Linked DNA regions of Ovis aries. The protein of the gene in region 2 interacts with the protein of the main gene of each other region in a pairwise test. Links are inferred from orthologs where the notes say so. Each region holds a gene or a part of one and is shown on either strand. Other genes may lie near its edges.

Region 1 (3,958 bases), on a different chromosome or scaffold from region 2:
TTTTCCACAGCATCAAGCTCAGAACTCGGTAATCCCTGAGCTTCTTCTTGAGATACTATCTCCTCCACTAACACTTCCCGTTTTCGTCGACGAAGAGAAACCTGGAAATGATAGGAATTGGTTCAGTTGAGAAGGAATTTGATGAGAATCAAAACTAAAACACACACCAAAGAAATCATACAAAACATATGCTGCAGAGGCCTAGAGGGCAAAGCAGCATAAATAATGAAGGGGGGGGAGGGGAAGCATAAACATAATTCTAACTTAGTTGAGTGGAACTAATTCAGAAGCTGTGAATACTGCTACGCCAGTACTCCTAACAGGAAACTTACTGGCTGTCCAGGGTCATCTAGTTCACTCTCTAAATCCTCCAGGACCGTCACTGCCTCCTCTCCATTCTCTGGATGATGCTCTCGAACCCAAGTCTGTAGCTCCTTGGGGAGGATGGCAACAAACTGCTCCAGTACAACCAGCTCCAAGATTTGTTCTTTTGTGTGTGTCTCTGGCCTGAGCCACAGACGGCAAAGTTCTCGAAGCTGGCTCACAGCTTCCCGGGGCCCAGGTGAATCCTGGTATCCAAACTGCCTGAACCTCTGGCGGAAAACCTCCGGGTCAGGAAGATGGTTCCAGGGGATACTCGACCCCTCTTCACCATCAGGATCCTCCTCCAACTTCACTCTTAGAATTTTTTCCTCTTCATCTGGAGTTGGGATGATAAGTATTGAATCCTCTTCCACTGACTGTGCAGACATCCTGATTTGTGATACTTCAAGGAAAGACAATCAAGGCAAGATACCTTAGGGAAATACCCAGTTTTCTTCACAGGCACTCCTGAGGCACAAGAAATGAAAAATTTATAAATGACTAAATATTCTAAGAACCTGGACACAGACTGATTAAAGGAAATAAAAATGTGTTCTTTTACTAGATTAAAAATGCCAATCAATAACCTGAACTAGAAGTTTGCAAACTACAGCTCATGACCAAATCTGGCCAGCTGCCCATTTTTGTACAATGCGTATACTAAGAATAGTTTTCACACTTGTACATGGTTGGAAAAAAATCAAAAGAACACTCCATTACATGTGAAAATGACATGAAATTAAATCGTCTGTCTCCATAAATAATTTTACTCATTTGTTCACACTACAATAGCAGAGTTGAGTAGTTGCAATAGGCACTATAGGGCATGAGAAACCTAATATTTACCCTGGTCCTCTAGAGATAAAGTTTGCCAACCTATGAACAAAACCTATTTCAACAATCAAAAGAATCCAAGTTAAGAACCAGCCCTTCTCAGTGTTATCTAAATGCATCTGACCCTTGAACACATTATCTACAATTCAATACTGGTGTTCCTTGACACACTTAGGTCATCTCAAAAGCAGGGACTGCTTTTTTACTATCTGTTAAAAAAAACTTTTTTTCACAAAACGTTTAACAGTTATTTTTTAAATGTTTAAGAACTCCTAGGACTTTAAATACACGTTAAAAAAATTCACTTGGTCAGGAATAGATAATAATGTTGGAAAAAAGGAACCACTATGTGCCATAAAATTTAATTATTTTTCAGTTACCCTCCACACCATAAATACCTTTAAATTAGGAACGACAGGCATTAATCAGCAAATTCTAGGGGGAAAAAAGAACTCTCGTAACACCTTTGTGGTGCAGATTCTTCCGCTGACACTGAATGACTCACAATCTCCCCAGCTACTACGTTCATGGAAACCTTGTGCTATTTCTGATCCTTTCCTTGGTATTTGCACAGTCATGCCCATGCCATTGTCTACAACACCCGTTAAGAATGAGCCACGCAGCTGCTCAATGTACCCATATACGCCCCAGAATACGAAAGCTAATTTCCAAAAACTTCCTGTAACCCTACCAAAACTAGGAATCAGAAAAGATCTTATCAGGTAACATACACACAAGTTTAATTAAATACTCTGGAGTGTGGCGGCCTTATAAACACGTAGCTTTGGCCTACAGATCTGTTTCTATTCCAAGACCCTACCTTTCTACGGCTCAAGCACTCTACAGAAAAGACATTTCTCTTCCTTTTACGTTCTCAAACAGCACTCTGGCGGTGGGATGTGAGGAGTTGCGGGGAGCGCAGGTCCGCGGTCCCGACCGTCTTTGGGCGGAGAGCCCGGTCCCAAGTGACCTCCCCACGCACTCCTGCAGAGTGCCGCTTCGAACCGCGCCCCCACCCCAACGACGTCAGCCCCTTTTCCCTGCACTCGCGGCGGCGGCTTTCCTCAGACCGAATGCCACCCGGCCACAACAGCAAACGAGCCGCGGCACTTCCGCCCGCGGCCAGCTGAACTACAAGTCCCAGCAGGCCCCGCGCGAGGCCCGCCCACTCCCACCTCCGCCCGAGAAGAATCCCAGAATTCTCCGCGAGATGCCAGGGCCTCGAAATAGAACAAAACCGGCCGATGGGGGAGGGGAAGTCGGGGGTCGCGAAGGACACAAGGGATGGAGGACTCTTCGAGGGTGCTGAAAGCCCGATCTGGCTTTTCGTCTTCCCTTGCCCGTCCCACAAGTGCCGGGCACGGAGACCGCGGCCTGTCCCCCACGCCTCTGGGAGAAGCCGAGGAAGGTTCCCGCCAGGCTTCTTCGCTGACTCTTGTCAAGCAGTCTGCAGCCCCCAGGCCAGCGTCTCTCACACCCTTCCCCCCAACTCGCGCAAACCTCGGGCTCGGGAACCACAGCCGCTTCGCTGTCCTCGGCCGACGCAGAAACGCCGCTCACGAGCCGTTTCCCAGCAGCCCCCGGCGCGGACTGCTTCCGGTCTGTGGGCCCCAGGAGGCGGGGGGGAGGCGAAGCCCCACGTTGCCATGGAGATGTGCTCTGGGCCGGGGGAAGGGCTGTCCAACGACAATGACTGCTTTGAGGCTGCGCTTGGCCTCGCGCCTTCCTCCCCCGGTATCGCAGCCTTCTGGGTTCCGCTTGAAAGACAAGGAAAAGAAAGAATTCTGCCACTAAGACAGTCTTTACGGTTTCATAAGCCTTTTCACATGCATTATCTCATGTGATCGTCACAGTAGTTCTCTGAAAGAAGTATTATGAATATTTATGAATGTTAATTACTTTGTACCAGGCACTGTCACCGTGCTTTACATGTAATTTCATTTTCACAACAACGCTGAGATAGTAAGTACTTTTGTTATTCCCATTTCACAGCTGAGATCACTGAGGCACAAGTAAATAGCTTGCGGAGTGCTCATAACTGGTGAGTGGGAAACAAGATTTGAAACCAAGGCATGACTCTCACCTTTGCCTCCTACTTGCTATGCCATACAACTTTATTATGACCAGTTTACTTGTCAGGGAAACAAGATGAGACTCTTAACCAAGAGCTTTGGCAGTGAGCTCACACTGAATTTGCAGAATGCGTGGTCATTTTCTGACTTGAGGCTTGACAGTTTATATTACAAAGCAGCTGCCAAAGTGATCGTTTAAAAACAGAAATCAGACAACTTAATTCCCCTATGTAAAGACGTTTAATGGATCCCTAACTGCCTTACTCCTGCTTGTGCTCAGTTGCTCATTGTGTTTGCCACCCTATGGACTGTATCCGGCCAAGCTGCTCTGTCCTTGGGATTTTTCAGGTAAAATACTGGAGTGGGTTGCCATTTCCTCCTTCAGGGGAATCTTCCCCTACTGTCTTAATTATGACATAAAAATTCCTTACATTTTCCTGTAAGGCCCCACTAGTCTGTTCCCTGCCCCCACCCCCACTCTCCAGCTCTATAGGCTCATTGTGGTCTGGATCCTCAGCCTTCCTGACCACCTTTCCTCCTGGAAGCCTCCCCTCTCTCATAGCACTGGGTAGAAGCGATCTCATTTATTCACTTCTCTATTTTTTTGTTTGTTTGTTTTGCTTTTGTCCATAAGACCCATAGAGGCAGAGACTGTGCCTGCCTTATTCACCACAGTATCTCCACATAGT
Region 2 (4,310 bases):
TGACACCACCCTACCCCCACCCCTACCCTTCGCATACTTTGCAGAAAATAATGCTTGATTATTCTCTCCCTTAGTAATAGACTGTAATTGAGGAGGACCCTATGGGATCTTCCTGGTACAAACACCTCCCTTCTATCCTCTGCTGTAGCTCCTCTCTGATGTACATAGATAATAATATCTGATGCACTCTCCTGAGTTGTTTTACAGATGCTAACATTACCACCAAATGGAAGAAATGAAATACTTGATGATCATGCCTCTAGACCTCCAGGCCCAAAGTACCAATAAGGTGACTCAGACTGCCTTATTTGCCTGGGTAAAGAATCTGCCTGCAATGCAGGAGGCCAGGTTTGGATCCCTGGATCGGGTAGATTCCCTGGAGAAGGGTATGGCTACCCACTCCAGTTATTCTTGCCTGGAAAATTTCATGGACAGAGGAGCCTGGCAGCCTACAGTCCATAGGGTTGCAAAGACTCAGACACAACTGAACAACTAATACTTCACTAAGTAGTAGTAATGTTAACCGCTGTTACCTCAACACCAACCAGTCAGAGAACTGTGCAAGAGCTGATCACGTTCCTGACAACCCCGCCTCCCTCACCTGACTTTTAGAAAATGCTTTGGTGAAACCCTTTGAGGAGTTGGGGTAGTTTTGAGGACACACCAAGAAGAGTTTGCCTTGGTTGGTCCTGCAATAAACCTCTCTGCTTTAAAACGCCCACATTTGGTTTCTTTGGCCTACTGCATCCAGCACACAACCTTGCATTTGGTAACATGCCTTAATTTTTTGTTACATTCATTCATACATACATATACATTCATTGTATATTTGCATATGTACATATATACATGTTCAACTTAAAAACACTTTTACATTTATTTTTGCCACTGTATTTGATAACTTTTTTAATTGGGGAGAATGGTAAAATATGTGTCCATGTCTTAATTATGTGAGTGAGCAAAGTGGAATACCGGCTGTGATAACACTAAAGTGAGCTGACCTGTTTCCGTGCCTGTGTATGTGTGCTCAGTCACGTCCAACTCTTGGCAACCCCATGGACTAAGGCCCACCAGGTTCCTCTCTCCATGGGATTTCCCAGGCAAGAATACTGGAGTGGGTTGCCATTTCCTACTCCAGAGGATCTTCCCAACCTAAGGATCAAACTTGTGTCTCTAAAGTCTCCTGCATTAGCAGGGTGATTACCGCTAAGGTTGGTAGTCCATGGGGTCGCAAAGAGTTGGACAGGACTAAGCGACTGAACTGAACTGAGGGAACCTGGAAAGCCCCAAAACACGCCAGCTTTCACGAATTTGCGTGTCATCTACATATATGAAATAAATTTCGGGTTATAAACTTAAGAAACCTAAAAACACACCTGGACGCCCCTCCCAGCTTTGGGGCACCCCTCCCAGCCTCTGGACTCCGAGACCGCTCAACCAACTACTAGCCTGAATTTGGCCGCCTCGTAGGAGAGCCATCGAGCCGCAGTCCTCCAGCATTCCTAGAGCGACGGTCAAAAGCGCCGCGGAGCGAGAGCGGCCGCTCAGTAAAGAGCTAACAAGCTGCTTGAAAGCTTTTGGCTTTTCCCGTGGGTCCTTGGAGGGGTGAGTGGTGATTGCGCTCCAGTTTGGGGAGTAACTGCGGCCCGTGGGCCGGGGAGCAGCTGATTCCTTGCGGGTGCGGAGAAGCCTTACCCAATGGAGGAGACGTGTGGACTCTGAGCGGGCGAGGACAGGAGATGTCAATCTTGGGGCCTAGGAGAGGAATGATGCTGTGGTTCTTGTTTATAGAGGCACAATCTTCTGCGTGTGTGTGTGTGTGTGTGTGTGTGTGTATATATATATATATATATATATATATATATATATATTTATCCATTGAGCTCAATTTTAAATATGTATAAGTTAAGCCTTAGAAGGTGACTTTGAGCAAAAGCCTGAGGGAGGTTTAAAAAACCTACGTGGCCTTTGCAGACACGAATTTTCTAGTAAGGGGCAACAGCAAATGCAAAGGCGCTAAAGCAGGAGCTCGCTTATCATACTCGACGAGTAGCTGGGAGCCCAGAGTGGTTGGAGCACAGTGAACAAGGGGAAGGTGTGTAGAAAATGCTGTCAGAGAGATGGGGGTGGGAGGAGGCCTGTAGAAAAAGTGGGTGTTGTGTAAGGAACTTGTTGATTTCTTGATGTGGAAAGAGTATTAGGAAGGTTTTGAGCAAAGGAAAAACATCTGACAGGTTTTTAAGCGTCTACAGCCGGGAACTCAAGATGAGACCAGACTGGAAGGCAAGAGTGGAATCGGGTGACTGGAGACAGGAAAAACGCTGGTTTCTCAGCTTTTAGGCTGTCAGGCAGGTGACTTCTCTTACTGGGGAAAGTCAGCCTTTTTGTTCTATTCTGGCTTTCACCCGATTGGATGAAGTCCACTCACATTAATAAAAGCCATCTGCTCTACTCAGTCCACTTATTTAAATGTTAATCTCATCCGAAAACACCCTCACAGAAACACCCACTGTAATGTTTGGCCAAATATCTGGGTACCCGGTGGTGCAGTCAAGTTGTCAAAGAAAATTCACCATCATAATACCTAACTATTTTCTGGCTAACAATCATTACTTTCATGGACATCTTTTCACTTTTTTTAAGAATATAGCTGACTCTTGAACAATACTGGTTAGCGGCCCATGGTGAAGTCGGAAATCCAAGTATAACTTTACAGTCAGCTCTCTCTACTCACAGGGCCACATAGCAGATTTGGCCTATTTGAAAAAAAAGAAATCCATGTATAAGTGGACCCATGTAGTTCACTCTCCTGTTGTTTAAGGGTCAGCTGCAGCAGGATTGGCGTTTTAGATTGTAAATCCTGTTTTGACAAATAAGTATCAGCTGGGAGTGATACTATGTAACAGCGAACTAAATTTGGAACCTAACTGGGCACAGCCACTAAGTGAGTGAGCCTTATACTATACTGATTCAGAAGTGTGTGCCAACAATTGGCAGATACTATTTCACTTATCTCTAGAGTCACTCAAGAGTCATCAGAATCAAGAGTCCCCACATACCAAGAGCCTGTTCAAAAGATTGATGGTATAATTCTCTGAGTTTTGTTGTGTGGTTTTTTTTAAGGTTGTGCTGGGTCTTCACTGCTGGGCATGGGGGGTTCCCTTCATTGCAGTGTATGGGCTTCTCATTGAGGTGGTTTCTCTTGTTATGGAGCACAGGCTCAAAGGCATATGGGCTTCAGTAGTGCAGCTTTTGGGCTCAGTAGTTGCCATTCCTGGGCCCCAGAGCATAGGCTTGGGACAGTTGTGGGACACAGGCTTAGTTGCTCTGAGGCGTGTGGGATCTTCCCAGACCAGGGATTGAATCCATGTCTCGTGCATTGGCAGGTGGATTCTTAACCACTGAGCCACCAGGAAGACTCTCTTAGTTCATTTTGACATGTTGCATTTGATAGGCTTTTGTAAGGTGCCCAGGAACCAGATAGCCAGAAGAAAAATCTTTCAGAGGTCTGGGCAGAAAAATAAGGAAATCATTGGCATAAAGATGGTACATAACATACCTGTCCTCTATGCTACCCTCTCCTAGCTTAGGTCCTATATTTCTTTTTCCTTTCAATGTCCTGTTTTTTGAAAGACTAATTTTTGCTTACTTGTGTCATTTTTCTCATTTTCCTGTGACTGGGTGACTGTTCTCCCTATCCAATGACCAGAATTGCCTTTACAGCGGTTGCAGTGACCTCTGTTTGTTTTTTTTTTAAAATAATATTTATTTAAATAAATTCATTTGGCTCTGCTGGGTCTTAGTTGTGACATGCTGGATCTTCTAGATGTGGCATGTGGGATCTAGTTGTCTGACCAGGGATTGAACTCAGGACCCCTGCATTTATTGCAAAGAGTCTTGGCTGCTGGACTGTCAGGGAAGTCACTGACTTTTTTTTGTTTTTGTTTGTGTTTTTTAGAAATACTAATATAGTTATGGGCTCCCCTGATGATTCGGCAGTAAAGAATTCACCTGCAGTGCAGGAGATGCAAGAGACACGGGTTTGATTCCTGGGTCAGGAAGATCCTCTGGAGGGAGGACATGGCAGCCCGCTCCAGTATTCTTGCCTGGAAAATCCTATGGACAGAGAAGCCTGGTGATCTACCAGTCCATAGGGTTGCAAAAAGTCAGATGCTACTGAGCACGATATAGTTATGGACAAGGAGACATGAAAAGTTTTGGGGGTTTTCTGTTTGTTTTGGTTTTAATTTTTGGCTGTGGATGGGTCTTCATTGCTGTGTGCAAGGCTTTCTCTAGTTGCAGTGAGTGAG

What was found. The genes of interacting proteins can lie anywhere in the genome.
Region 1: the proteins of PGBD1 (region 2) and ZNF24 interact in binary tests that used the Homo sapiens proteins (3 or more experiments, as listed by UniProt). The two-hybrid records come from large-scale screens. The link is inferred for Ovis aries from reciprocal best matches to the Homo sapiens genes PGBD1 and ZNF24.

What each region holds. Positions count from the first base shown.
Region 1 is NC_056076.1:22,076,611-22,080,568, reverse strand, and holds the start of ZNF24 (zinc finger protein 24), read right to left. Parts: upstream 2,801-3,958; 5' UTR 2,018-2,800; intron 832-2,017; 5' UTR 753-831; coding exon 333-752; intron 102-332; coding exon 1-101. UniProt on the Homo sapiens protein: Transcription factor required for myelination of differentiated oligodendrocytes. Required for the conversion of oligodendrocytes from the premyelinating to the myelinating state.
Region 2 is NC_056073.1:29,476,308-29,480,617, reverse strand, and holds the start of PGBD1 (piggyBac transposable element-derived protein 1), read left to right. Parts: upstream 1-1,506; 5' UTR 1,507-1,605; intron 1,606-3,958; exon of another isoform or gene 3,959-4,310.